2 linked regions of the Lepisosteus oculatus genome follow. The main gene of each other region encodes a partner of the protein of the gene in region 2 in a complex. Links are inferred from orthologs where the notes say so. Each region holds a gene or a part of one and is shown on either strand. Other genes may lie near its edges. The genes, in order: spire1a and fmn2b.

Evidence for each region.
Region 1: the proteins of fmn2b (region 2) and spire1a are in contact, whole or in part, in a crystal structure (PDB 2YLE), measured with the Homo sapiens proteins. The link is inferred for Lepisosteus oculatus from reciprocal best matches to the Homo sapiens genes FMN2 and SPIRE1. Residues at the interface, in NP_064450.3 of Homo sapiens: Ser1702, Leu1703, Lys1705, Ile1706, Lys1707, Pro1708, Arg1709, His1710, Gly1713, Ile1714, Lys1715, Lys1717, Ile1718, Lys1721, Thr1722; in NP_001122098.1 of Homo sapiens: Gln51, Pro52, Ile53, Asn54, Glu127, Ile131, Tyr134, Lys135, Asp138, Leu141, Lys142, Glu143, Asn144, Glu145, Glu146, Arg147, Glu148, Glu154, Ile157, Asp158, Ala161, Asn162, Thr163, Val164, Glu165.

What each region holds. Positions count from the first base shown.
Region 1 is NC_090705.1:7,902,995-7,918,074, forward strand, and holds the start of spire1a (protein spire homolog 1), read right to left. Parts: upstream 6,679-15,080; 5' UTR 6,479-6,678; coding exon 6,139-6,478; intron 1-6,138.
Region 2 is NC_090712.1:16,471,187-16,486,844, forward strand, and holds the start of fmn2b (formin-2), read right to left. Parts: upstream 8,245-15,658; 5' UTR 8,211-8,244; coding exon 8,188-8,210; intron 5,631-8,187; coding exon 3,544-5,630; intron 1-3,543. UniProt on the Homo sapiens protein: Actin-binding protein that is involved in actin cytoskeleton assembly and reorganization. Acts as an actin nucleation factor and promotes assembly of actin filaments together with SPIRE1 and SPIRE2.

The sequences.
Region 1 (15,080 bases), on a different chromosome or scaffold from region 2:
GGAAATCCACAGAACAATTAGCTACTAACTACTGGTAGTTAGTATAGTATTACTACAGCATAGTTTATGTTCAGTGGTGACAGATAATGCTAAAGTTACATTTTTTAAATATTTGAAATGAGTTGACAGTACCTACCCCTTAGGTTTCAAAAGAACTTGATAACAGAGCGGAGCACCCAGACAGGTTCTAATGCTCCTGATCTTATAATTTTCTACTTTCACCAGCAGGGCAAGAACCGCAACAAGGCACTGCAGATGGGAACCGAGCTCTCAAAACAGTGCCTTTCTGTCATTACATTCCTGCCAAATTCCCCATATTTAGCAAACCTCTCAATCACGTTACAGCTTTCATGTAGTGCACATTCTTTGGGAAGTAAAAAAAAAAAGTGAGGTCAAACCTGCAGAGATAGAACCCAAAATCCTATCACCTCACAGACCGGCAGCCTTAAACTTTAAACTCTCAAAATGTAAGAAACTCGAAGGATTTCTAAGGACTGATGAGAGTACTGCCACGGGAAAGACCGTCTTTGAGTCGATAGGAAGTCCTCCGTTTGCAGCCAGACTAATTTGGCTGAAGAGCCTGCTCACAGTGATTATTTCTATTGCATACAAACACACTCACACAGTGCGTGTTATACACCATGCCATCCAGCTGTTCTGTGAAAACAAGCACAGGAGTCTAGAAAGGCGATGATTTGACATCAGATGCAGGCCAATAGGGTTTAAAGCCTACAGTCCTAGCAGCTTGGTAACAAAACTGATTATGTTTCTCTGTAAAAAGAGCTTCTTTACATAATAGACATATGAAGTAAAGTATAAAGTATTTTAAGATTATATACTTTATTCTTTGCATAATAGATTTGCCATGCCACAGTTTGTCAATTTGATCATCTATTTCCGCACCGAATCATATTCTTCGAAATATGAAGCAAAAAGAAAATTACAAATCAGATGTTTTCAAGTTTCAAATTTAAACCCAGTCATGTGCACCACTCCTGAAAATTCCAAGTCCACAGGCAAATGTGTTATTACACAGACTCTAGACATTGGTTTTAGCTGCTTCTGAACTTAAAGGTGTCTCCTGATATGTTGTTAATAAATTCACAATTCACTCACTTCTTTTCTTTGTGAATGTCTGAGGTCTTACATATAAATCATCCCACACAACACAGGCAGGTATTCGTCTTAGAAATAGGGTTATATATCGGATACACAGGGCTAGGATTATAGCTGTAGGGCCCCTGACTCAAGGCCACCTAATTCCAGCATGTAACAGCCTGGGATCAAACTGGTGATGCATGGATTTTAGGATTTTGCCTCCACTCCAGACAAGCACAGAAAGACAAATTCAAGTTCTTCTTAGACTTTCAGAGCCAAATTCAAGCAAACAACGAGAACTGGAGCAGACAACCAGCTGCTAATTATACAAACCAAATGATGAGAAAAGTATCCTTGAGCATTTCTTGCAAACTAAATAATCATCTTCCTTTGTGCAAATTATCCCAGGGTCTCGGAATCTTGACTTCATTCATTTCAGTTGCTTAGATATTGACTCCATGTCTGTGATCACTGGACTATCCTTCTGCATTGCCTGTTGCTGTTGGCTTTAACATGCAATGCATGTTTCTCCGTCTGTTGAAGAACCGCAGTCCTCTTTGGAAGCCTCTTTCATTTCCAGAAATACACATCACAAGGTTAACTCCAGCCAGGACAGAACAAAGACACAGAGAAACTCTACGGTGACACTAAAATCAGGGCCGCATTTTCTGGCAAATCGAGGGTATTGCCAAGCTACTCCAAGCGCTGGAATGTTGTTATTTATAGTTCTTCTTAGAATTGTAAGTCTTTTGTGGTGCAAGCAGACGAAAGGGGCTACCTCAGCCCCTCTTTTAATGTTAGTGTCTAATTGCTCTAAAATATAGTCAATGCCAAACTGGAGGCTAATGGAGGTGGTAAATAGCTTCAGGGATGTCTTAACGGCATTTGGCATATGGAGAGCAAGCTGGGGTATGTGAAAAGACAAATTCCTAATGCAAGAAATTGTATGTGGCTAATAAAGTGAGTGTAATCTTAATTTACCGGAAATTATAGTGATTGAATTATTTTATACAGTGACATTAACTTACCGACTATTTCAAGCTGATAGAACGTTCACTGACAAAATATTTTGATATGCAATCCAAAGATCCAGATTACACCACAAAAGAAGAAAAGGTCTTTCTGGTCAGCCCTGATCCTCCTGCTCTGCCCTTGGGAATGCTATCGCCTGGGAATGCTGCACACAGCTCTTACTCACATAGGTTTGCAAATATTTCATTTACTCCATAACTCACGACATAACCTAATGCATATAAAACACCCGAGGACCTGATCAGAAGTAACACTCTTAATAATAAAGGGAATGTTCCAAGTGATCAGCTGTAAAAGACATTTGAAAACTCATAAGTGTCTAAATGAGAAAATAATTAGGTTATGTGACTACAGAGGTTGGCACACCAACCAGAAGACACCTGGCCCTCCAGGAATTCTGTCTGAGACGTGCGTTTTAGAGAACACACTAGAAACGGCAGAGCTGTTTTGAAAACGCAATGATGAACAACGTCATCGTTTAACCCGTGCTCCAAGACCTGGAGAACCGCTAGTGTATGATCTACACATAAAAGGCATGTCAAAACTGGACCAGGTAATTATTAGCCACTGAATCGGACTTCTGTTACATCCAAGGTTACTAAAAAGTAAATGGCATTAAATTACAGGATCATGAAAACATATAAAAATAGGATCCTAGAGGACCTTCAACATAGATTTGTTTTTAAAAAAACAGGTAGGCTTTGCTTAACTAACTTGCTAGAGGAATTTGAACAAGCAACAACAGTATCTTCACGTACACATGGAATGCATGATTTTCATTACACTTTTTTTTCCTCGATTTTGACACTCCAGAGGTCACTAGTGGAAACTGTGTAGGCGTGCATTTAAAAACAAGAATAGGAGGCATCGCTTTACACAAAGGGTTGTGGGAGTATGGAACTGACTGCTCAGCCACGACTCTGAAGTCAACATTGTACTTTCTTTCAAGAAATGGCTGGATGAGATAATTGGTGCAATTAGCTACTAATTACCAGATGGGCTAGCTGGGCTTGATTGGCCTCCAATGGTTCGTAGCCTTAATTATGTTTAAAAAATAGAGTAAACCAACTGCTTAATCACTATCGGAATTTAAGAAACTCTGTCTCAACATGACATTGATTACCATTGAAACATGTGGAGCTTCATGTAAGTGGCTCAGCCATTCGTCAGTAAGGAAACTGCAATAAACCGTATGAACCACACTGCACTGTAGTTGCATATAGCGTCTTGGCACCATCTTCTTTAATATCATCACTTGAATGTGTAAAAGGCAGGTACTGATCACCCTCAGAGGAGAGGAGAAGAGGACTAAAGGAGAGCAAGCATCGTTGGAAACAGTTAAACCCTCGCATCAGTGCTAGGATAAAACTAACTAATGGTGCATTTCCTACAGCTTTGCATAGAACAGAGACCCAACGCCTCAACTCGTACAAAAACAAAGCTATCAGGATTCAACTGGACTCTCAGCCACCACTGGCCAGACATGAAAGTGTTAATTATGAAAGTGATGAGATACCAGTCAGCCTCCTAAGCAGCATTAAAACATGAACTGTCTACTGCACCACTAAGTATCTTTTTTTTTACATTAATTGAATCAGCAATACATCATTCCACATTAAATTAAAAGGTGCTTGAAGTGGACTGGCACTGCGCCCAAGAATAGCCGCAACAACAACAGGGCCAGTAAGCAACACTGTCCAGCCCTGTGTCCTCAGAAAGCACTGACAAGGACCAGCTCTTAGAAAGCTGACTGTCATTTATTTTGCTGAGCACTGAAGGGGAAGGCAGATGCACATGAAGTTCACAGCACAATTACAGTGCACGAGAAACACATTAAGACAAGCAGTCCAAGCATGCGTGCAACTTCTTAACTCCATCTTTAAATACTGTCCGGTATTCATGAACTTTGCAGACTACTGTGGCTTGTGAAAAACACCATCACTGCTGATACAAGTGCTGTACGCAATGACACTTCCTTGAAGTCCATCAGTGGCTCGGTGATGCAGTAGGCTGTTAGATGCAGGTAAGGCAGACCTAACACATGATTCGCAGCACGTTTTCATACCGGTTTACATCGGTAGTACTTGGATTCTAAATCCGTGTTGCACTAAAAGCACAAAGAAAAAGAATTCAAAAACAGCTGTGTCTGGCTAGACAGAAACCTGTATGCACCATCAGCTGACAAGCGCATACTGTATACGGCATGGCTGCTCTCTCTCATAGCGCGATGGTAAAACAAAAAACTGGACTGCCCGTTTTCCGAAATATTTCTCTTTACCATTTTCCTTACACAACACTGTCTCGGAATGTGGCTGGGGGAGAAACTACCACATTCTGTGGTTTTTCTTCTACTGCACATGACATCAGCCAAACCTGCTCAACAGCAATTATAACATAATAAGGCGTGACAGCTTTAAACATCACAAGGTATGACATCTGCTCAAATCAATATTCTACTTTCAAAACCTAAAACTACACCCGAGGCTAATTTTCAAGACACTGGGGCGTAGGGATGCGAAACCTCTGTAAATAATAGGTTTGTTTTTCCTTTCTTCAAATAACGTGACGTTTTAAGGGGAGGGATACTGCTGTCAGCTTTTTTACTGTCAGGTTTTTTTACATACCGGCAGACAATACATGACTGATGAATAGGGCCGTTTTGAAGCAAGTAAGCCTCACGCCTTCAAGAAATACGATTGGCATAATAAGGAAAATGAACAATGAGACCAAAACAAAACTAATGAAATACTTAAGCATTTATGGTTAAATCCCCGTCAACAGACTTAAATGGTTTTCCCAGTATGTTGGAACGGGACATGTTTTTACTGTAATGAAATTTTAATTGAACTGAGATACGGGACCTCAACACGAAAGACAACGCCTGGGACGCGTGTGGTTTTATTCATTAAAAAGCTCCTAATGCTCATGGGTGTCAAATATTTAATTTGACGAAAGGGACAATAATCTTTTATATATATATACACACTCTCGCACCCCTTGTCTTTATAAAGCTACACTATACAAACGCGAACAATGGAATTTTATACTTCCTTCATGACAGCAAACTCAACTCCAAGAATACACCTAACACCGGTAAAAACACCGTAACAGCGACTTTACACTCTCACCCTCGAAGAACAATGATGATTGGACCCTTTGTCTCAACGTGCGAGGTGACCCCAGCTGGATCGATCACGTGGTCCCATTGTTTACGACCAGAGCGCCACCGACACCTTTGCCACCCACCACCACAACCGGCCCGTTCGGGACCAGCTGGTCGGAGTCCATCTTCGAGAATCACACGAAAACTTTTCATTTTGTAATGTCTCATCTCTAAATGCTCCGGTGGCTCTAGGGGCGTGTAAATTGGATAAAGCGTCTTTCTATTTTTAGGCGCTGAAATGACATGCATGATAAAAAAGGGGGGGGGGGGGTTTCTATGGTTTTGCTTTTTTTTCCCCCTCAACCGGAACCGCTCTTGGCCCAACTCCAGCTTTGCTCGTGTTGCGTAACTGTGTAAGTTAATTATTTCGGTTGATTCTCGGCTTCTACAGAAACGGGGTCCAACACGTGAGAACTCGCTGCGCCTAGCAATTTCAGCGCGGTTGTTATAATTAAAACAACCCGTTTCGGCGCACTGGAACAATGGCTGGACCTATGAGGCGATGCGGTATCCCCGAAATACATTCATTTTCAAAATTTCGAGAGCCTTTCAATTCAACTCGGGGCCGATCTAAGGAATGGTGTGGGTGTTATAGGCACCGAAGTGCATTGCAATTATCTAATCATTGCACGATCCGATTTCATGTACAGAAACGTGGCGGTATGCACAATATTCCTCTCAATCCAAACCACAGAAGATGATTAAATGCATCTCACGGGCACCGACCTAAACAGTAACAGCCAAGGTGTAACTATGACGAGGTATGTCTTCAACCCAGCTATCTTGCTCACGGTTTTGAACAACATCAATAACACGAAGGACGACGCTTAGGAAGAGAGGTTTACCTGAGCCTCCCTGCCTGTGGTGCAGCCTCACGGCTCCGTCTTTGCAGATTCGGACATCAGCAGCGCCTTCAATCCTCCAGGCTCGCCCCTCGCCCCTCGCCCCGGCGCTGCTCCCCCGAAACCCCTGAGCCAGGGTCCGGCAGCACTGGTAACAAACGGCCCACGCCTGCTCCTCATTGATCGGCTGGCTGTAGAGCTTCAGAATCTCCTCCAGAGACAGCTCGTCGGCACCATCGCCGCCTTCCATGTTTACATCCCCAGAAGTCTGCTCATCACTGCCCGGCTGCCGAAGCGCACCCGCGGTCAGCCCTTCCTTGTCAGCGCCTCGCCTCTCGGCCATCCTCTCATTATATCCACAGGGAGAGGTTCCGCCGACACTGCGCAGCGAGGGATGCGATATACGGAAGAGCTCAGACCCTTAAGTCATCGAGAGCCGTGCTAAATCTCTGCCCTCCCACAGTAATTCCATTGAATGGCTCGTTTCTCCCCCCTTCCAGCGGTTTCTTATGGGTTTCTGTCATATGACGAAAGTTAGTCGCATGGTCCCAAAACCAGACGGGTTCCCAGCCTAGCGCTCCGAGCTCCAGGCGTCATCAATCACGACGCGGACAGGTTGTGCTGAGACGACGTCGTGCGGGAGACGGCTGTTATGTTAGGGGACGCGTGTTTTGTAAGTCAGCGATGTCTTTAAAGTATGTGAAATGTCGCCTTATGTGAAGATGCAAGCGCTCGGTATACAATTCATAGGGGGAAAAAAAAATATTTATAAGCGCGGGGAGATAACGGAGCGGGTTTTCGTTTTGGACTCCCGAGTCTCCCTTTTTCCACCCCGTCCATCGTCGGGAAGCCGCTCGCTCTCGGAAGGGGTCCAGTCGGCCGGCACCCTGTGCAGAAAACAAGCGACAGCAATCTCGACAGGACGACGCAAGTCACGGGCACACGGGCAGTTGTAGAGACACCAGTTAACTTAGCCATCGTGTGTCTGAGAGGAAACCGGAGCACCAAGCGAAAACCAAGTGATCTAGGCGAGAGCATTCAAACTCCACATCAAAGGTGCCCCAGTCTTAACTTGAGCTATGTTCACACAGCGCCGGATTTGCCAGGCTGTTTTTGCAAAAATAGTGGTTCTCAAATCAGTTCTTGAAGTACTCCTGTGTCTTCTGAATAGTCATTCTAGCTCAGTTCTTAAAGGGCTAGGCTAGGTGATCTCTAGCTGTTTAAGTTTTTTTTTTAAGGAATTGAATGGAGTTAGGAATAAGTATAGACCCCGAATCAATCTCTAAGTTTCACACCAGCCCCTATCCAGGTAACAAAGGTAATTGGACTACTGCACAGCGTATACCTGTTTTTCTGGTGGAGTTTTTGATAGTCTTTCCCAATTAAGAGTTGCTTGACAGAACAGTAGCAGCAGCTTGGCAGTAATTACTTAACGAGCCGGTTGAGGGGTGAATAGATTGAACAGAACAGATGATCCTGAAGCTTCTTCACAGTGACAGACCTACAGAAAAGCAGTTCAGAAACCCAGGTAGAAATAGTGCAGTAAGAAGCTGAAATGGTGTCGGTAATCAAGTTCAAGTGAGATATCAGTTTATCATCGTGGGTAAGAGGTCATTTGAAACAAACAGTGGAAGACACAGCGTACTCTAGTCCTGGGGGGTGTTTATAATAAGACTTCTCACCCATGATCAAATGAAACAATAGCAGCTCTTTCTTATACTAGTGATTACCCTACACCTAATCACACTGGCCTTGTGCAGTGTGCAGTGGGAACATCCAGAGCACAAGAAGGAGCTGTGACAAGAGCCCATGTTTGTGAGACGCAGAGTAGACCAGGGATGGCCAGCTCTGGTCCTGGAGACGCACTCCCCAGTAGGTTTTATGGATTGCTCCTAGTTTTTTAAGAAACCTTAAAACAATTGTGACTGGAGCAGGAAATCCGTTCATTTCAGCAGTTCAGAGATCACATAAAATGACATTACCAATACCCTTTTACCCTCAGGGATTGCAGTTACTCATTTCTGATTTACCTGAATCAAATTTACGGGATGGTAACTGTACAAAACTCAGGTGTTCCGAGTTTTTCCAGATTATTCATTTAAGGGTTGACCTGCGGTTTGAGGTCTCCAGCACCATACACCCTTCCAGTAGAAAATGTGGGCCATTGGAACAGGAATATTCAACTTCCAGCTGATCTGCACTATTGCCGTGTTGATTCTGATAATGAGAAAATAATTAAGATTACTTTATTGGCCGTATACAATTTCCTGTATTAGGAATTTGTCTTTTCACATACCACAATTTGCTCTCCATGAGACACACAGACAGGGAGAGAAGCTTGGGATCAGAGCGCAAAGTCAGCCATTTATACAGCGCCCCTGGAGCAGTTGGGTTTAAGGGCCTTGCTCAGGGGCTCAACAGAGTAGGATTCCTCTGCCGGCCGCAGGATACAAACTGGCAACCTTCCAGCCACAGGCGCAGATCCTTAGCCACAGAGCCACCGAACTACCCCAATTTCTTTTTAAAGAGCTGCTTGCAGTCAAACCATGTGATAGAGATGATTGGAGGTCCTGCAAGGTGGATTAACTGTATTATGACCCTACAGGACCAGGACTGAGCTCCGAGTTCAACTCCAACCTGACCCACCATCTGTGTGGAGTCTGCATGCTCTCTCCAGGTTTCCATGGGTTTTCTTTAGTTGATCTAGTTTCCTCCCACATTCCAAATGCAGGCTTTCCAAATTTAATAGCACCACTAAATTGTCCCCATGTAAGTGAGTAATCTAACTTGCCCCAAACCCCTAAAAATAAAGAGATTCTTAAAACTGGTTCAGTGATTGTGGTTTCTCTGCAGTCACATCTAAACGAAGATATTAATTTATCAGAATACTATTCCTTTACATCCGTGACCTCTGAATACTGATTCTTGGTATGTGTCTTCCTTGCAAATTCGTTAGTTTAAATGAATTGATCCTTTGCTTCAGTGTTCTTTGAATGAAGGGAGACATGTTAGCCTCGACAAAGTAAATTTAATCATTTACTTCTAAACTGTAAATATTACAGCAGTAATAAAAAGAAAAATACGGTCAATTTAAGATTGTGTTCCGATTCCTTGACATGATTCCCAATTCTATGAGAAATGTAATACGGAACGTCACAAACTCTAGTGCATTTAAAATGCAGTGAGACTCGAAAACACGGAGACATGGACTAGCGCAAGAAAAAATAGACCAGACCTAAAAGTGACACTTTTACACAGCGCTGTTTAGTTTATTTACACCTAGCTAGCTCGTCTTCTACCTCTCCTCCGGGTTCACTACAGGCTTCAGTGCGCCCTCTGCTGGAATAAAACTATATGACTTGAAGACCCTGTAGTTTTGGGAACCGTAGTCTGAGCTCGGGGTTCCAACTGCTAAGTACGCTGACTTGTGTGCTATGTGGCTAATGAATGTGTTTTGATCTCTGGAAAAAAACACAGCATAATTATTTAAATTATTGCTAAAATTTGAAAAACACGTCAACGAGGATACCCCAGATTCTGTCAAGAAGGGGCTGAATGGGACTTATTTTATTATGAATGGGTTTTAACTAATCCATAAATTACTAGAACCTAAATAAATGGGCTAGATGGGGCCCAGTGGCTTCCTCGCCTTTTTAATATTGAAGGTCTTCCTTAAAAAAATGCCTGGATGTACTTAAAAGAAAATTCTAATGATTGACGCCTTTTTCTAATCAAAATCAAGTGTTACCCTGAACAAATCCCAAGAGTTTTCCAAAAAAAATCGACATAAAGCAGAGGAATCCTCTATTAAAACATTAATAAATAATACTTTAGTGATATGTATACAATATTTATATTTCTCCATTTATATCAATAAAACCCACATGTATTTTACCCTGGATTAAAATTGCACTGTACTTTGTCTAAAAACCATATGGATCCACCTAAAAACTACAAAATACAAGCCCAGTACGCAGTGTGTTTCCTCGGGATGGAAAATCTCTACAGAACAACCAACCATCACCATCCCATCAGTTATTGTGCTCATAGTTTGTACTTGGTAGGTCAACCGCTGATTCAGAAACATGAGAAAGGTTACAAATGGAGGCCATGCAGGCCATGTAGCATGTGTGGTTGTTAGCACTCAACTGACCGGAGGAGCTCATCCCACTGTTCATGGAAAGAACCCAGGAACTTCCTTCTCCACACCCTCAACCACCACCTGTCACGCCCTCTGCAGCCAGAGGGCGCTCCTTCTCTGTCCTGTCCCTAGTTTCCGGTCTGCTGTCCTTCCTGTCCCTCTCTTTCCCTTGGTCTATATATTTCCGGGTCTTGCACTCTGTCCTTGCTCAGCATTGACGTTCGGATGTCCTGAGACCCGCCTAGCACCAGGGCGCCCCACGTCCGCTCCTTGAGGGCATAGGTTTCTATACGGCATTCCTGAACTCTTTGCACTAATGAGCCCGGGCCTTTTTCCCGTCTCGCCGCTACGCATATGGGTCTTTTTCCGCTCTCCTACTCCCCACGGTTAGTCCCCTTGGACGTCCGTGACACCACCCTTCAGGTCAAGAAGTGCCTCCTGTTCTCAGTTTGAAATGCACTCCCACTAAAGCTGCAGTTCCACAGTCTCGGCGGCGCCTGCGAGTACAGCGTACGGTACGCCTCAGGAGGTAAACCCAGGCGATGGCCACAGAGAGACAGGCCCCCGTCTGTGCTGTCTCGGTATGACACGGACACCTGTGCGTCCCGATCCCTGCTGTGATCACACTGGCTGGGAACGTACCAAACTGACAAACCGCACGAAACCCCTCTGCAGTCTGAGGACGCCACACAGCAGAGATGTAAGAGCCACTAGGTGGCGCTTTGAATATCCTTAGTTTGAGGGGTAAGACCAGGGTGCAGTGTGAGGGAGGAGAGGCAAACCTCCATTAGTCCATGAACCTTTGAGTGGGAATCCAGAGAGAGGGGGTCTTCAATGGGAACTGGTCTCAGGAATTTTGTCTTGTTACTTAAGTGGGATAAAACAGGGATAAAAAGAGGACAGCCTTGCAATTCAATTCAAAACCATTACTGGAAAAGATTAGTCAACTGAAAATGGAATTGTGTACTGGGTAATTTATTACTGACTTTTACTCATATTTTATTTAAAAAAAATATGAGTACACTATAAATTTATGATTTTGGCAGGTCACAAAAACTCCTTGTTATACCTATCTATATGTATTTAGATATTGTTGATTTTTTTTATGAGTGTGGCAGTTAATGATGCCGTCTCACTGTTCTTGGGTCCTGGGTTTGATTTCCAGACTGGGGAATTGGGTGGTGATAGTCAGCCCCCTCATCCTGTCCAATACGGGTCCTGGTGTTCCCCTAAACTAATGAAACAATACTGGGTCCCTCTCATTAACCGTTCTTAGGTTCATCCATTTTCTAACCACTTTATCCTATACACAGGGGAGCCGGATCCCAGCAAGCCACAGGTGCCAGTGCAAGACATACCCCTGGACAGGACAAGTCAATCACAGGACAGACACACACGCTCACACCAGGGCCAATTTCATCAGAAGCCAATTAAGCCACCAGTATATCTCTGGGCTGTGGGAGGAAACCACAAAACCTGGAGGAAACCCATGTGAGCACGTTCAGAACATACAAACTCCACACAGACAGCAGCCCAGAAATTGAACCCAGGGCCCCAGTGCTGTGAGGCAGCAATGCTGACCTCTGTGACAACCTCTTATGTACCACAGGGACATGTGTGGGTAAAACAGGAGAGAGAATTAAGAAACAATGGTTAACATTCTTCTAAATGATTCGGATCTGTGATGGGGGACATTGTCAGTGAACAGCTTTAAAGTCCCATGGAATAGATGATCCAACAACTTTAGTCTTTTCATCACACTGTCACGTCTGGAAGTATTACAGAATATCAGCAGTTTTCTCAACGGGAACAATGGCCAAAATCAATTAGATCAAACCTTTGCAGGTTTTACTGGTTTCATTTCAGCTGGCAAAATATCGAACAACCGCATTTTTTAAGAAATGGAAAAAGTGTGTGTAAAACCAACCAGCACAACTTCTTTTTAATGAATTCGGCTAATGCTCATCTGTGATCTGTGTGGAATACTGATTGATATCTCTGCATGTGCCCTTCAACTGCCAGATGAAAGGATGATGCCTAGCAATTGTTTTAACTAACAGTGCTGGCAGTTTTAGCTTTAAATTTCAAGTGGTACTTGCTGTGGAAATGTTGACTCGTGTTAGTCCAGTAGCTAGGTAACCAATTTTAAATGAGGAAAGAAACAAAAGCTCTCTGAAACTCCTCAAAAGTTCACTGACGATTGACATCATCTAGTTTAAGCAGAGCCATGGTGAAAACAAAAACTCAGATACGAACATACATTAGCTCAGATTTCATAATAATAATGATGATGATAACAATTAAATGTTAATGCATCTGCAGTTCGTAAAAAGATATTAACTCGTTAATTCCACTAGGCAGAGAACATACAGATTAAGCATCATGCACAAGTCTAAGATCAAGGCACAACAGTCCTGTTCATCGCTAAAGGAACACAAAGCACTTTTAGAATGATGTTCTAACTGTGCCATCAGTACAATGAAAGGCATTGCATCACCTGGAGAGGAATCTGACAGCCATCCTGCAACAGTAAAGTTAAACAGCAACATAAATATGTGCTTATTGCAAATAAGAATGGATGAAAATATTCTTTTTATAGGCTAAAGGTAGGGAGTGCTTTATGTGAAAGACGTTTTCATCAGCTTTCTTCAAATTCGAACACATCCTTTTATGCCTGATGTTATGAGCAGTTTAAGTTTTCTATTAATCCAGTATGCACTATTTGTCCCCTAAGTAGATTAAAACAGAGTTTTAAACTACTTTACGTTCTCCACATCTCAAAAGTACAATATGCTTAGTGTATCAAGCAGTTATGTCTGGCCATTGTGCACCATCTGCTTGCGGAGGGAAAAGTACACAGCTTTCTATCTACAATTTGTTCTTTATTCCAAAGCAGTACCTGCAGAGCTTTAAGCAATCACGAAGCGCCAGGGGAAAGCAGGTATGAGTCACCCATCTTGAAAGGCTGATCATGTTGCTTCAGAAGCTAAAAGAGCAGTTTGCACCACACTGATGGGATTGCAAGTGAAAAAGGAACATCCAGTGGTAGAAACACTTCATTGGATATATTGTCATAACCTGATGTATCTGCAGAGTGGCAGCTGATTTTTAACTTAAATGTTGATAATTTTATAAAAACCACAACATTCCACTGTTTTTTAACACATCTCTCCATCATCATCATCCCATTCTGGTCCACAAACAGGCAGTATATCCTGGGAATTTGCATCTTCGGAAACACTCAACAGCACAGCTCGATGAAGCAAACAGAGTCACTGCTTTAAGGAGCAATCCTCTGCCATTTTGTTACTCCATTTTGGCAGGTTCATGCTCCACCACTGACTTCAACCGGCACAAAGAAAAATAGGATTGAGTCTTGATTTTTTTTTTTGGTTGTACATTCTGTTTTGACTGTTTAGACCTGCAATTATTTTCAAGAAATTCAGCTTCATAAATACGCTATGACTCCACACTCCAGATGCTTACAGATGTGTTGAATGGATTGTAGTAAACTACGGAAGGGTGTTTATTAACCAAAACTGCCTCTTTCGAAAGTAAACAATCCACATAGGCAAGGGAATGCTTGTCGTGACCTGCTCTTTCTGTCTTAATACATTTTCATTACGAAGGGAATCAAAATGAATTTTTTAAAAACCCGTCAGAAAAGTTTAGAACAAGAAAAGATCGTTTAGCCCATCTTTAATAATAATAATAATGTTTCTTTATTAGCCCTATACAATTTCTTGCATTAGGAATGCGTCTTTTCGCATACCCCAGCTTTTCTCCAGGGAGACACAGACACAGAGACAGGGAGAGAAGCTTGGGGTCAGAGCGCAGGGTCTGCCATTGTACGGCGCCCCTGGAGCAGTTGGGGTTAAGGGCCTTGCTCAGGGGCCCAACGGAGTAGGATTCCTCTGCCGGCCGCGGGATTTGAACCCGGGATTGTTTCAGGGATTTGAATTTATATTGCTTCCGCTCAGGGGCTCACTTAGGAAGAACTTTCAGCGGACGAACTCGATGACACACGTGACAGAAGGTTACCGGAAATTGATTGGAGAAAAATTTGGATGATGCCCAATAAATATTGTATAACCAATAAAATTAAGGAGGTTTCATACCAAATAATTCATCGAATTTACCCAGTTAAACCTCTTGTTACCCAACGATTTAAAAGTAATATAGATGACAAATGTGTTTTTTGTGACAACAGCCCTGAAACTATTCAGCATTTGTTTTGGTTATGTCCCAGGGTAAAAATGTTATGGACTAAGTTGCAGAACTATATTAAAAAAGAGACCAATATTGATATTTGTTTTGTTGAAAAAAGATGTTAAGTTTCAGCCCCAGTGAAAACAATATTAAAATTTCGTTTGTAATAAATGTAATTATTATACTGGCACGTTATCACATACATAAAATGAAGTGGTCTGGGAAGTACCCTGTGTTTGAGTATTTTAAAATGGAAGTAAAGGGGTATTTGCAGACTATTTCGAAATGCAAAAATTTGAAAGCGGTGCGGACATTGTTTTTTATTTAATTTGTTCAATCTTTTTTCATAACTTGAATTTATGTAGTAGTATGTACCCCTGACGATATTTTTGTTTTGAATTGTTATATGTACTCTTGTTTGTATTGTAATTTTTGTTCTTTTGTTAAGCATAAATAAACATTTTTTTTTTAAAAGACTGTTACCGGAAATCCACAAGTTTCGGCCAACAAATGGTTAGTCGCCTCAGTGACGTTTTTCCGGGTATTTATAAGGCTCTTAGTGACGAACGCTCTTCTCCTCCAATCGTCGCCGATC
Region 2 (15,658 bases):
AAATTCAATTCTTCATTAATACTTGTGATCTCCACATGATTGTTTTCACAAAGGATAGCATTACTAGGCGGTCACCACAAATGTACACTATTTAGCCCCTAAGCCTTACTGCAAGGCTTCATGGGATTACTCTTTTAAGAGAAAAAAGAATCTAGGCACACAGATCCACACAGCATAGTAATAAGAGGCACTAACCATTCTGATAGATTTAGAAAATAATCTTAGAGGCTGATGATCTACATAGAATAGCATTCTGTGACAGTAAGGCTCTGAAGAGCCTGATTTGTTGTGGACTTTATCCTTAGAACATTGATTTACATATCCAAATGTTTATGGGATAAACAAATATAGGAACAAGAAGAGGTTAATCTGTAGTTGAACATTTTTAGCAGGCAATTAACATCTGCTTATTATTTTGAAGCTCAGTACAATATATAAGAAGTTGCTCATCCTGACCCAGTGTAATTATACACACTTGTAAAGTAAAATGTTTGTAAACAGGACAAGTAATTAAATAAAAACAAGTGGAGTAGTGCCAGGTTCTATAAGTCACTGCCAGATCAGACAGCTTCTTTTCTTAAGGGGGAACATCTTTTCAGTAGCTTCAACAAGAGACTGGGATAAGATCTGGCCTGCTGAGCCATTGTACTGTAGCTTGATTACAGAAAACACACACCTACCCTCTGTAATATAAAAAAAAGTTTTAAACAGGGCCACACCCTATAACTCAGGTACACGCACTGTATCTAAGCATCTGTTAAGTGGACTAGTGTGCCACACCTATCCCCCCAATTTCCCTCAAATCAATTCCTTTACATGTTTCATTTGAGGAACTTGACAATTTATACAGTATGGTCTAAAGTTAAAAGAATGTAAAACCCCATCTATCCTCTGATAGTGAACACACACCCAAATAAACAACTGACAATGCTTGTTTGACAGTGCTTGGCCGAGAACTACTAAGTGCAGAGCTGGCACAATGATCTCAAACTGCTGACTATCGTATCAAATCAACATGAAATTGTACAGCCACTGCAAGTGCACCACAAGGAAAAAAACAACTGGGGACTGCATTATCAGTTAAGGTAAAAGTACTGAACATACTGTATAAAAGACAAGAAGACTGATTATATTAGCAACATCTGTCAAGTGCTTAACTAATACTAGCAAAATATTTTTAATATTGTATGCCTCTAAATGTTCAAGATGTACACATTTTGCACTCACCTCATGAAGTCTAAGAAAGAAAAACAAAGGATAATCTCATAAATTAAGTCAACTTAAGGACACGTGAATATTTTACACAAATACCCTTTTCAGGCCGATCCATCCCATCAAGGCTGTTTTCTTTCTACAGATTCACTGCAAAATCGATTGGAGTGACAAATCATCACGAGGCTGCCCCCTGGGTGTAATCAAGCCAAGCTCGAGTTCTTCTTCCAGGGAGAGCAAAACATATATGCCTTGAAATAATGTCTGAACTTAAAAAAAATATTTTTAGGGTAAGGCAATCTGGGGAATTCTTATTGTGTATGAGAAATGGAAAAAAAAAAACAATGTTACTAACTTTATGAGGATAAAAACTAAATCCTGTCCTTTTCAAGACTTGACTAACCTATACCTTAGGGTTAAGATGACAATTGCTTTCTAAAACCTCTAAAACTTTATGCTATTGCAGAGGGTAGGCGTGTAATTTTGGTATTCAAGCTACAGTGGCCCACCAGCCTAGAGTTTATCCTGGTCTACACGGCAATAAGTGAACTCCCCCCATTCCCTCGGATGGCAAACCAAACCACCACAGAGCCAAATCCTTGAGCTGAGTGGGCTGGAGAACCTGAGGTAAACTCCCTTAATCAAGGTACTGCAGCCGTATCTACAGGAGGGACTGAAGGACACAAAGGTTACGAAGAGAAGGAGGCCTTTTGCCCCATCTTACCCAATTGGTATTTACTGGTTAACTGATCCCAGAACCTCACCAAGCTATTTCTTGAATGAAGTCAAGAGTACTGGCTTCTATGACATGACTGGGTACCTTGTTCCATACACCCATGCCGCTTTAGGTAAAGAAGTGCCTCCTGTTCATTGCTTTACAGTTCATGCACTTCCGCGTAGTTTCCACCTCATTGGTGCGGTTTCACTATTCATTCTGAAGTAATGGGTTGGCTGTCTCCTCACTTTGTCTTTGACTTGAGCTCACAGCCCACTAATTATGAGTCCATAGACTCTACACTACAACTTAGAGAGGGCACATTCATTTGATTTTGTATTAGGCCTTCAGGGTTTTCAAGTGAAATAAATATTCCACTAGATCAGAGCAGAAACCATGTATAGGATGTGTAAGTACCAATTTTTATTTTGCACTGTTGGCAGAGTCAATTGTACTTTCTAGACATGAATTTCCACAAGTAACCAAACAGAAAAGAGAGCTACTACTCTACTAAAAAGGAAAATGTTTAGTACAGAAAAACAGAAGCAAAGCTTGCTGAGCAGGCGGTTTTGTAGTACAGGAGCCCCCCAAAACAGAAAACCATAGAAATTATGTGAGAAAAAAAGATTCAGCTTTGTCATATATCTTTTCTAATAAATATTAAAATTAAGCTGAAATAATAAGAACATTTCTGCAGACTTAAAGCATGTCTTTATCCTTGTGTTTTTTCCACTACCTCCACCAGACCTTACAATTAACAAACATCAAAGGTTTCATATATTACAAACAACTGCATTTTATTAGCTTTTTAAAATTAAAAACATGTATATTTCCCTGCATTTCCTAATCACTGCTTTATTCTGCATTATCAGGCCAGGGAAAGCAAATAAACACTGGCCTCTAGCTGAGTAGTAAATACAAGCAAGCTGCATGTTTATCTGGAAGGGGAAATCCCAAGAATCCCTTCCTTAATTACAGTATCTTGGAGCAGGAAAGGGGGATTAACACAAGGAAGGTGCAATGCAGGGTGAAAGAGGAAAGGTCAATTCACTGTATTGATTCAAGAAACACTGTGGAACTACATGTCAAAGGGATTATCTTTGAAAAGCGTTATCTAGATTCTGACAAATTGTATGCACAACATGAATGCATTGCTAAACTAAACTCTTTCACATCTACATTCAAAAGCTTCTTCTTAAAAAGGGCCTTTACTTAACCGGTTCTGTTATTTACCCCTCTGCTCCTGCTGTATTCAGTACCCCCGTCTACTGTCTCCTGCTGCTGTTGTGTAAAGCGCTTTGAGAAGCCACCTTTGAAGGCGCTATATAAAATAAGGTTTATTATTGCATGTATTGCACACAGAAAACATCTTTCACATGACATCGCTAGAGAAAACCCAAGAATTTTCTTTTTCAGCAATTCTGCCTACAGGTACGGCGTATGAATGATGTCAGATGGCACTGTAACAATCTTCTCCGGTGCGATACAGTAGTTGCTATTTCAGGTATGTTACCGAGTTGATAAAAACAAAGGATGTGAAGAAACTAATAAAGCATACTGTATACCCAGTTATTTTAACTTCATGCGGTGGAGCAAACTGTACAAATCAAACTCACCAGTAAAGACATCATGGAAGCTACAGGTGGAAGCCTGGACCCCAGACGACTTGCGAGTAACGCACAAGGGCTGGCTGCCTCCTCTGAGCCTCTCTTCTGATCCCCCATACTCCAGGTAATCTGCCGAACCCGTCTTGTTGGACCTAAATTTGGACAGCTCATCAGTCCAGTCCGCCGAGCGGCTGAGCGGCCCTGTTATGCTCGAGGACCTCTGCTTCTTGACTCTCCGCCTGTCGGGCCTGTGGCCGAGGTCGCAGTACCGCCTCCGAAACAAGGGACTCTGGGACGGCGAGGGTCCCGGAGAATGGTTCGGGGAGCTGAGCTGTCTTGTTGTTGTTTTGATGTAAGAGGGGTGAATTGGAGGGTAAGGCTTGACAGTTGGGGAGGATGTGGAAGTCAAACTTGTCCTCAACAACCGACTTAAGGGACTTTCAGGGTGCCACTGAGAAAAGGGCACGCTGCTTTTTCTATGTGGCACAGTAGGGTCTTCGTCATCACCTTCTGCTTTTAGTTCCAAGCTGCAAGTATGTTCCAGCGATTCAGTTAATTCCTCCCTGCCATCAACAGTCCCATCTGAGGAATCAAGGGCTGCTTCATGGCTCCCATCTAGTTCAGCGCGACTTTCCTTTAGGAGAGATGAAATATCCACCTTGGCCTCCTCTTCTTCAGGCCCCTCTACACTTTCAAACGAGGCGGTCAGGTCAGGGACGCTGTTGGCGGTTGTTGCCGTGACAACAGGGCTCCCACCTCTCCCTCCGCTCGCCTCTGCAGGAGGCTGTGCGCTCTCGCTCGGGGGCTTGTGTTCTTTTGTCCCAGGCGAAGTACAAAAGGATTTCTCAGATTTGCTTGAAGCCTCACTTAAACCGTTTTGCACGTCTGCAGTTAAATTACTTTCTTGCCTTGCGCTGTCCAGAGAAACATGCAGCTCGCCAACATGGCCATTCTCCCAGTTAAAGGCAGCTTCCTGGTCTGCAACGTGCTCAGAGTCAGGGGGGGTTGTTTTAACATCACCCGCATGTTTATACTCAGCTATCCAGCTTGGCTCCTCAGCGGCTGAAATAATAACCCCCTGCTGCATCCTAATAGTATGCTGGATATCAGAAAGCAAATCCTCTTGTTCTGCAGCGGAGTGGAAACTATAGATATCCGTATCGGAGCCAGAGCTAGCCCTTTGTCCCTCCTGGGTTTCCACGGTTGCCTGTCGGCTCTCCATCGTGAGGTGGAACCGCTCAGCTTCTGTGTCCGACAGGCCCAGCTCGTCTGCGGAAAGGCTGATATCGGGGGTTTTGGTTTGGATAGAGAGCGCACTGTCCAGCTCATCTTGCTGAGAGGCCTGGGTCTCCAAAACATCCTCTTTGGAGCCCCCTGACAACCCCTTTGCCTTGGACAGGTTCTTACGGAGCCTGATGTTTGAAAACACGGATGCTTTAGATTCCGATTTGGATTTCTTCTTGCTGGAATCTCCCCCTTTGCCATGTTTGCCATGTGCCTTTTTACCGTGCAATCCTTTCTTTGTGTGTTCCACCTCCCTGGGCCCCCCAGCTTCTTCTGTGGCTTCACTGCTTTCCCCGGCTGCCCTTTTCAGCTTCCCATCCTGATTCCCCATGTTTATCAGCAAGCGGACTCCTTTCGCAATCAAGCCATGCTGATGGATGCTCTTTGCTTTGCCTCTCGGCGAGATCCTGCTCAGTAATCCGGGCTTGCTTTCCGGTGACGAGAGCGGTGATGATGCGGATGCAAAGGAAACAAACGCCTGTGCGTGCTCTCCCCCATCTGCTAGAGCTGCTGTTCTGCATAATGGGCTGCTTGCTGCCTGCTCCTCAGGGACATGCTCAGTGCAGCACTCCTGTCTGCAGACAGCTCCTTCCCCCGGCTGCTTCTGTTCCTGCTGCAGCTGACAATAGTGCTGCTTCCCCAGGCTCAGCGAGCTGCTCTTTCTCCTGTCTTTGAAAGGAGTTCGGAAAAAGCTCTCTCTCAGAGCGGGGACCTGCTTTTCAATTGTCTGGATGGCTTGCATTATGTATTCAAGGGATTCTCGGTCACCGACAGGCAGACATAGTTCAGGAGAAGGCCCCGGCAGTGTTTCACTATGACAAAAGACAAATAAGAAAAAAAGAACATCTTAAAAATTTGAAAACGTGCATTGCATACAGCACTGTTTTATGCGAAACCACTTACGTTACACATAAACCCTGCACATTTAGAATGACAGATTTCTGCTTCAGGAAAAAAATATTTCAGGAATACTGCATGTTTATGAAAATGATTGCCATTTGAAGAAATTTAGTTTTCACACTGTATGAATCAAATTCTTATTTGTGAAATATTAAAGTAAAAGTGTGCAACACATACAGAACAAATGAAAAACAGTGATATACTGTAGTTTTGCTTTAACAAAACGTACTGCAACTGATCTATACTGACAACCAATAACCACTTATAATAGGTTTTAGAAAAAGCATGTTTTTAACATGTTGCATCAGAACTCTATCTACTTCCTTTCCTATCCATGTTCATCTGTTTAAAGACACGGCATGAATTATCTCCCCAGGGAGCCGGGAGAGCAATAATAAGGTTCTAACCTCCCTTCTGCCTTTCAAAACACTCTACCGTCCTGAAGGATTAGGAAGAGATATTACATTACACAATAAGGATGAGGAAATCCAATTTAATATTTAACAGCTTACAAACAAACTAAAAAACTAAGCTCACATACTATGCAAAATATGGTTATAAAATGAAATGCAACATTTAACACTCACATTACAAAACTACCCTATAAATGGATTACAAAGGTCTGAGACACTGGTCGACATGCATTGATGCTTAAGTGCATGTGTACAAATACACAGAGTAAGAAGTCAGAAATCCTTGGGTCATTCTAAACATAAAAGAACTAAATTATATTGTTCAGTAACAAACTTGAGTGAAGATGTTGCTTACAACACAAATAATCTAATTTGATCACAACAGAATCAAATCTAAAATTACACTACTGATGCAACATCAGCATTATACATTTTACAGTACAGTACTGTACCAATAAAAGGGCTCTTAATATTGTCTTAATATTCCTTAGAAAGTACTGTAGTAATTCTCCGCCATTTTCATACAGCTGTAGGCTGTTATTTGTTTTTAATTCCGGTCTGTGAATGAGCCAACAACGCATATTTAATACAATCATAAAACCTTTTATTAGAAAGATCAATCCAGTTAGTTGCAATAGTAAACTGAAAACCCTTCAATGACATCGTTCCAAGTCAGCGTTTGTTTCACATAGTAAATACATATGCATGAACAAAATTTAAATATTAAAACTACATACTGTATGTACACCTGGTCCCTAGAAAAGGCACCGTTTGGGCTGCACATACAGTATTAACTACTGTAGAGATTATTTACTGTATACTGATGCCAACGCAATTAAATTATCCTGAATAATAAAACTAATGTCAACAACAGATAGTGGCATGAAATGCTGTCTTTAGAAGATTTCTTCATTTTGAGTTTTATTTGTTTAAAATATGTAAATTGTTCATCTCTTGGTTTTACTGCTGAATTTTAAAAATATTTTTAACGCGTTATTAGAGAGCTGTGCTAAGAAAACGGATTTTACAATCTGAGTCGAACACAAACATTTGGAGAAACAAAAATATAACAAAAACGAATGTGTAAAAACAGAAGTGATAATTGTTAAGGTTGATATTCAAAGTTTTTTCGTAGTTCCTTAAACTTTAAGTGAACACGTTGTGTCACACACAAAAACACCGTAATCACTTCGAAACTAAACGTAAAAACTATCGTAATTCCAATTGCTAAACCTTAAGAATCACAGTAACTAAACCCACTTCACAGGATAAACGTAAACTTTCGACTTACATTTCTTACAGAAAGTTTTACAAATATTTACAAAAGCGATATTATGTAAAAAAACTGACTTGCCTTAGTCCTTCTGTTCAATATTAGAATAAAACCAGAACGGCTTCAAATTTATAGGGCTTTTTCAATCACATGAACTCTGAAATGACTCATTTTTAAATCACATGTCTTCTAACCAGCATAACACTTACTGTAGCTAACCTTCACTAGTTTATAATGTACCATTCTTAATTAACTCTCCATATACTTACTAAAATACTTTAAAATGTAAAACGTGACTACTTTTTCTTGCAGTAAACGTGTTTTTTGTGCATTTAAACTTTTAAAATAAGACATACCTTATTTAATTAGTCTGATTTGGAAGCCATCAGTGCGTGGCTCGTCATTAACTACAAACTATCAGAATATATTTGTTTAGCGAGTCCAGCTTCCTATATTAATGTATACCTTTTTATAAATAAAATACTGAATGAACAAATACAAAGAATAATTACATTCAGTTACGTAAAAACATCTGGACACCTCTAGAAATACTTAACTGGGCAATAAAAATGGAATTTCAGCTATGTCAGAAGTGTTGGTCCCAACATCGGAAAATTAAGGTCGAGTTTACGAATGTTAACATTTAAATAACCTTTAATTTATTTCTGTTTAAGATTTATCACAATTTATATATATAAATAATTCTGGAGCCTAATCAATTAAAACTTAGATATAAAGGAACTTAATTCTGAAAGCTATATTAAAACTGAGCAAACTCATTACCTGTAACCAACGTCTACCTCCATTGTTAAAAATTTCGGCAGGTTTTTTTGGGAGGGTGGGGCGGGACACCTACTTACGCTGTTTTTTTTTTACATTGAACACGTGGTTCCACAATCCGTGAAGAGGGCCACAATTTAGCACGTGATTCCACAGTCCGTGACGGGTACCTGTCGTGGGATTAACAGAAGCGGTGCTCTGTGAGACAGTCCTATCGATTTGTGAGCTAGCACCGTGTAAACAGCTCATTCGCCCTACAGTGGGGAGTGTTGTAATGCACGTCTTTCAGCTTTGCCTGTTTTCCCTTTGCCTGTAAAAGTCAGGCAGTTGTGGGAAAACAAATCCAAGGAACAAAAGCCTTCGGGTTTGGTGAAAGAGCCCCCTTCTGTGCACTTTACTAATGCTTTTTTTTTCAAAAGCTCATACTGTATTAATATCATATCTTCTTGATCCTACAGTAGCATCCATCGTGAGTTATTCAGTATCACAGAAGCCATCAAATTTGTTCAAAGTGTACAGTACGAACCTTTAGCTATAGAGAAAGCAGTTCAAAAAGGAACAATGACATGTATTTTTAATAAACGATATTTTCTGGCCAGCAAATACTTGGGTATACAGTGTATTGCTCTTCTTTTGTTTACTGCCAAATGCTTAACTGCTTCCTATTAAAAACACTTTCATAAAGTTTTAAAAAACAATAACAAAGCCTTGTTGGATGTTTATATGATGTATTGTCCAACTTTAAAGTTATATGTAAACCATCTGTAATTAGTGTAAGGTCTTCTCTAATATTTTTCATAACAAGATTGTTTTGTTGAATATAAAGCTGCTACAGCAACACTTATTGCCTGAAACATTGTTAAATGCATTATGTCATATTAATTTTGTTCTCCAGATTATCAGTAGAGTCTGATTATTTCTGTTTGTACACATGTCATATACAGTATACATTATGTGTGTGTGTAATCAGCAAGACATGCACCAGACAAAACAAGAAAACTTTTAGAAATTCATACTCACTGTCATGGCACGCAGAGTAGAACAGAAATATTCTCCTTCCCAGTTTTTGTTGCCATCCTTTCCCTTGTTTGCAATTTTCCGAAGTGTTTCCTGACAGCAGAGCCGGGTGCATTATTAAAGCAGTTTTTCCACAACCAAATTATTCGGTGGAGTGAGCAGACAGAGAATCCCTTTGCCCTGAGTCAGGACAGACTGTTTAATGGCAGTGCTGGCTGTCTGCCTGAAGTTTATTGACAGAAATAAATACAGAAAGAAATAACGAGACCTTGACTTTTCTTTTTCTAAATTGAAATTAATTTGGCTGCAGAGGACAACGCAAAGTTCACACTGTAGGGACTGAAGTGTGAAGGAGTACACTTCACTCAGAGTGCTGGAGTTGCTTGGAGCTACAGAATCTGTGGAGCCATACCATTGCCATCCTGGAGCCATCCAGGTGGGGCTGCACACTGGTGGTGGTGGAGGGGATCCCCATTACCTGTAAAGCGCTTTGAGTGGAGTGTCCAGAAAAGCGCTATATAAGTGTAAGCAATTATTATTATTATTATTATTATTATTATTATTATTATTATTATTATTATTATTGTCATAGACTGTGCTCTTCAAAGAATTAAATAAGAGTAGGTAACGGAGATCAGCGAGGGACAAATACAGTATCTGTTTTGCCAAGTTTGTAGACTAGAAAAAAAACTCCTTCTGCTGCACTTTTCTGGTCCCATTCTAAAAGCTTACCTCATTGTGCATTATGGGTCTGTCAGTCTTTCAGAACAGCAGTAATGTCCCCCTGCGGATATTTGATCATATTCTTGTACATCTGCAATATCATTATGATGATCATTATCAAGAAATAAAAATACTGTACAACATCTGCTAGTCATATACAGTAGGTTATGTATTACTCTGCCACCTCTTGGTCAGATGTAAATTTAAATTTTTAAGTGATTATGTAAGAGACAACAGAGGTTTGAAAATGTTCTGCTGGGTAAAATAAAACTTGGTTCTATACTGACACTGTGTGGTAAAGTTAGTGCATTGCATTTAGCCTTATCCACCAGGATTTTCAAATATTTAATGCCTACTATGACTAGTCCTTACAACAGGATGAAATGAGGTTATGTTGAGTTTTCTAAATAATTGGTTTAGATAATTAGCAAAGACATGCTAGATATTCTGGGACTGTCAAATTATACTGGTCTATAGATCTGGTCTGTTACTGAACCCCAGATATTTTTTAACTGCACAGGGACTGCTGCAAAAGCTACTGTATACTTACTTCATATCATTTGAATTTCTGCATTCAGCTAGAGATACAGTACAAAATTAAACAAAACAGATAAAAACGATTTCACTTTCGAAATAAACTGTGATTCATGCTTTACAATAAAAAACTTCATTTTCAATAAGGCCTATTTTTATTATGATTTCTCATGTTTTGCCTCTAACATTTTCAGTTTAGAATTTAGGTGGCAGGGCAGTTAGTACTTCTGTCTCAGAGAACTGGGGTCATGGGTACATTATGTGTGGAGTTTGCATGTTCCCCTTGTTGGCAGGGTTCCTTTCATTGGGTGCTCCAGTTTCTTCCCACTTTCCAAAGACAAGCTAGCTAGGTGGATTTGTCTCTTTAAATTGTCCCTGTGCGTGTGTCTTGTCATTGGACTGGCATTCAACGCAGGACGTAGTCCTCCTTGGACCCCAGACATTTGGACAAGGAAAACCATGAATAAGCAGATTTTTGATAATGGAAGGATGACTGGATGGGTTTACTAAGCGAAATGTCCTTTGTTGCCACATGGACCACTAAATTGACTGCAAGGTGTGGTAAACGTACTAAGTACTGTATTGGGAAATTATTCACCATATACCATTAGTAATATATTATTCACAGACAAAAAATCAGCAGTATATTGTGTAATGTGCCAATTGAATGAAAAAGGGACAATTACATCACTAAACTAAACACCAATGATAAACATAGAGAATACTGTATATATTGGTTATATTTAGTGAACAGGACATGAATGTACAATTTACTGTAAGTAGGAATATGTGCATGTGACAGAAACCTTATTAAAATACACAATTCTTACCAGTACAGTAGACTAACTTGGCTTCTGAGAAAATCAGCCCTGGTGTGAGTGGGTGTGTGTTTGTTTGTGTGTGTGTGTCCCCTCTGATGGACGGGCATCCTATTCATCCAGCCTTGCGCCTGTTGCTTGCCAGGACAGACTCTGGCACCCCTGCAACCCTGTATTGAATAAATTGGATAGAAAATGGATGGATAGAAATATTTTCATAGTTTCCCACTTGTTAGCAGCCAAAAAGTTGCTGGGTGGGAACAATCCCTCAGATGGACCCTCGTGGGTCATAACACCCTGTTAATCAGGGTTTGGTCAGTCAATAGTGCTTCCTATCAGTTAATAATGCTGAAGGTGCATGAATGCCCTTGTGAGAGTCACATCAAGCAACACTGCTTCCTCGTTCACTGAGCAACGGAATAGTAGGACTGTGAATAAAGCCAGCAGAACTGAACACTTTCAGTACCCTTCAAATATGACCTTTCCTCCCATCCCATCCCATTCCCATTCCCATTGCGTATACTGTCATTTACTCCATACTCAGGAGATAATAAAAGATGCAAAAAACATTATATATGACATTGATCTTAAACCTCCTTTCAGCAAAACCTCTGGTATGAAAATGTCTTTAGGCTTGTCAATCAGTCAGTTTTGCATATTTAATAATTAGGCATGAATGCACGTTGCATTTAAAAAGTGGTTTATTCAAGTATGGATACAGTACTGCTCTGCAGTCTCACAGTTCTAGAATGCCCTGGGGAGACTCTCTGTGTGTACTGTGTGCACATTCTCCTTATCCTCACTCAGGGTATTGTTGGGAGAGTCCAGTTTCCTTCTACTTTCCAAGGACCCGGTGTACAGAACGTGCCCTGCGATGGACTGGCATCCAGTTCTGCGTGAAGTCTCACCTCAAATTCTATTCTTTCAGCTTACAACATCCCTTGCCAGGGATAACTAGCTTTCCAATAATAAATGGACAATATTGATTGTTTTTCTACCAATTTGATTAGTACAATGAATATTGATTAGACTGTTTCATTTTAATTATCTATTGATTTGTTTGTTTGTTTTTTTGCTGCAGCAGCATTTTACTGTTCTGGAACTTCAAGGAAGACAAGCAGCATTTAAGAATGGCAAATAGTAAACTTCTTGGGTATCCCAATAAATGAAGGTCATGGGTTTCAACAAGTTTTTCAGCTGTATTTATATACAGGTCCAGTAACAATTGAACAGGCAAATGAGACTACCATGATGTCAAAACATAATGCTTTCACTCAGTATGTCAGTAACACTTAACGTTATGCTTCACTTGACCTTAAAATCAATGCTAATTTATGCAGTTTGAAACGCAGACGAGTTTCAATATCCATGTTTTAATGGTCAAGTAGTTCTTTCTAATCATACTAATCATATCTCCCTTTGGAGATCTGTCAATACCTTTGGCCAGTTCAATATATGGGGCAGGGTCATTTGTTTTCTCCCCACAAACAATACAGAGTCACAGGGTGGACTGTTTACCGTTCAAGTCAAACGTGATTCTACAACTCCATGTGCGTCTGCTTCATGGGGCTTACGCTGTATAATGTGCCTCAGATGAACCTGATTTTCACAGCCCACACCTTGACTCAATTACTGGGCTGTTAGCAGCCATTTTGGCTTAGTCCCCACTCTTGGCACACAAAAGAGCCAGAGATGGCTGCCTCCCATGGAAGCCTCCCAAAGTCACTGTAAGTGAGACTTCCACTTATGATGTGGACACCCTCGCAGTAAGACATTACTGAAATCTTCTGCATTGAAATCTTCTGCTGTTATAATTTGAACATTCCAGTATTCAGCAGAGCTTTAGTCATTTTTGACGTGCTTTGATTCAAGACATTGAGTAAGAGGTCTTCAAAGGGAATGAGGTGATATACTCCCAGATCTAAAATAAGACAATAGCACTGTACTGTATGTCAGAGGAACTGTATCCAGGCATTTTTAAATGGAAACCATTATTATAGTGTAATTACAGTATGTTTTCATCTACTATATATATACAGCTGTTAGGACACAGAAACTGTTGTTGGTTATGACAGATTTTCATAAGTACCATAGATATCACTGAAGATGTTTATCATGAACGTAACACATGTAGAACTGTTTGCTTCATTTTCTTTTTCTTTGAGTAGATATGAAAAAAGCATTCGGTATGTACTGTAACACAACAGCTGTTACTGGCCTTGTTTGTGTAAGTGTCTGGAGGACTGCTTAAGGATGATTAAAAGAAAAAATAGGTATGAACATTTGATGCAATTTGGAGGAATTCAGGCGTTGGTTTTGCCCCATGAAGTTCAGGGTAAAAATCAAAGGGGGGCAGTGTTACTTCAGGGCAAGATGAGGTACTTCGGGATGGTAGAAAAAGCTGGATGCCCAGTCATGGTGGTAGTGTAGCTCTACACTTTCGGTGTGAAAACAGTCTCGTTACAGAGACCCAGGATGGTGGAAGAATATTTCCTTGTTCCAAGCCACGATTGGTACCCATATCTGTTCTGATATATGTTTTGCTGGAAACATTTCATGTGACTTGAAATTCATCACGCACATATCTTTAAAAGAAACTTGCAATATAAGCTTTTAAGATGAAAGAGAAATAACACAGACAGTTTTTAAAATATTTATTGCTGTTTTAAAGCAATCCATAAACAATATATTTATAAATGACCATGTTTAAAAATATGGCCACAAATTATATGTGGCTATTCAGTGTACAAAAAGACAGATAATGTGGGAAATTTAAATCTTGTTGCATTTAATAAACAGATGAACTGCAAAAACAACACAAAGAAGAAAATTAAAAACATCAAGCTTCACTACCCAGTAGGTTTAAAAATACGCATATAAACACATGAAAAGCTGCAACACTGTACAACATCCTTCACAGTTTCAGAAATATGTTTTTGTTTTAAAGTGATCCATCATGTCTAGCAAAATGTTTCAGATTATTTATGTCATAAAGATGCAAATGAACACAATTTCCCTTCCTCTTCTTTCACTTTTAGAAAGCATCTGACCCTTTCACTTTCACACTTTCATGTTTGTGCTGTTTAAAGTTTAAAACAAGCGGCTGCCTTCGAAAAACATACACAAGCAAAAACAAACGTTCATAAAGTGAAGCAAAACAGTAAAGAAAATGCTTATGGTGAACTGAAACCACATCAGATTCATTGCCCTTCACTGAGTGACATACTGTAAAGCCTACTGTATAACACTTTTTTCATTGTGTAATTATCAATGTTTCACCAATTAAAATCAAATTTGTGTCATTTGCCAAATGCATGATTTCAAGATTTAAAACAAAAAGCTAATTGATTACTATATTAGTGGGATAGAGTAATAAGCCATGAAGTTGGCTATCTTTAGCTTAGCATACTGTATGTTGTAAATGTCTAAAACATTCGCTTGCAGCTTGAAATTTATGAATCAGCTGATGCTAGGGTCACCCTGGCTCATACTGTATTTCTTTGCCACCTGTGACTGGGACTCACCAAGCAGAGCTGGCATGAATCAATGAGGGCAGAAATGCTGGGTACACCACAAACATGTAGTGTGTCAGACAAGTGACTTAAAAGGTAGGCATACTGTACTGGCGCATGTCTACATGTTTCATTCAGCTACATATCTGCTGTTCTAAGCAGGTGTGGTCTGAGTCACTGCTGGAGATCAGAGATTTAAAAAAATAGTTGCAACTCCGAATTACGTGGGTGTATAATTAAAAAGTGATTTCAAATTAAAAAAAGAATAAATCGTTTATTAGCTGATATGCAGATAATGATAACATGTTTTTCAAATAGTAGCAGTGTTTATATTTATGTTTGCCCCCTAGGATTATGGATTGCAACCCACCGTATGCTGTAGGTTTTAAATAAATCTGAGCCATTTTAAAATCATTCCTGTAAGGTCCTCTATGCACAAGTTTCAATAACCTCAATATCATAACATAAAACAGTTTATCATCGACTACCAAAATCACACTGTAAAGCCTGAGATTACGGCAGACACCGCATAAAGGTGGCAGAGAGTGCACACAACTACAGAACATCATAATGCAATTTGTCAGGCATCAATTACAAAAAGTAATACAGTATGTAATTTTAATACAAAAAGCTGTACAAGCCTTCCCATGCATCCTGGCTTTTAAAATAAAAAAAAAAGAAAACTGAATCATACACTAAACTTCAATGTACTGTAAGTTATCTATTTTCTAATTAAAGCAGCTGATAAATCAAAGAAATTACAGAATTACAGTATGTTGTCTGTAAAAGGGCCTGATCGACAAGCAAGGTCTTTAAGGGTCATCGTTCACTCAAAAATGTGATTTTATTTGTTACTCACACAGAGTAAAA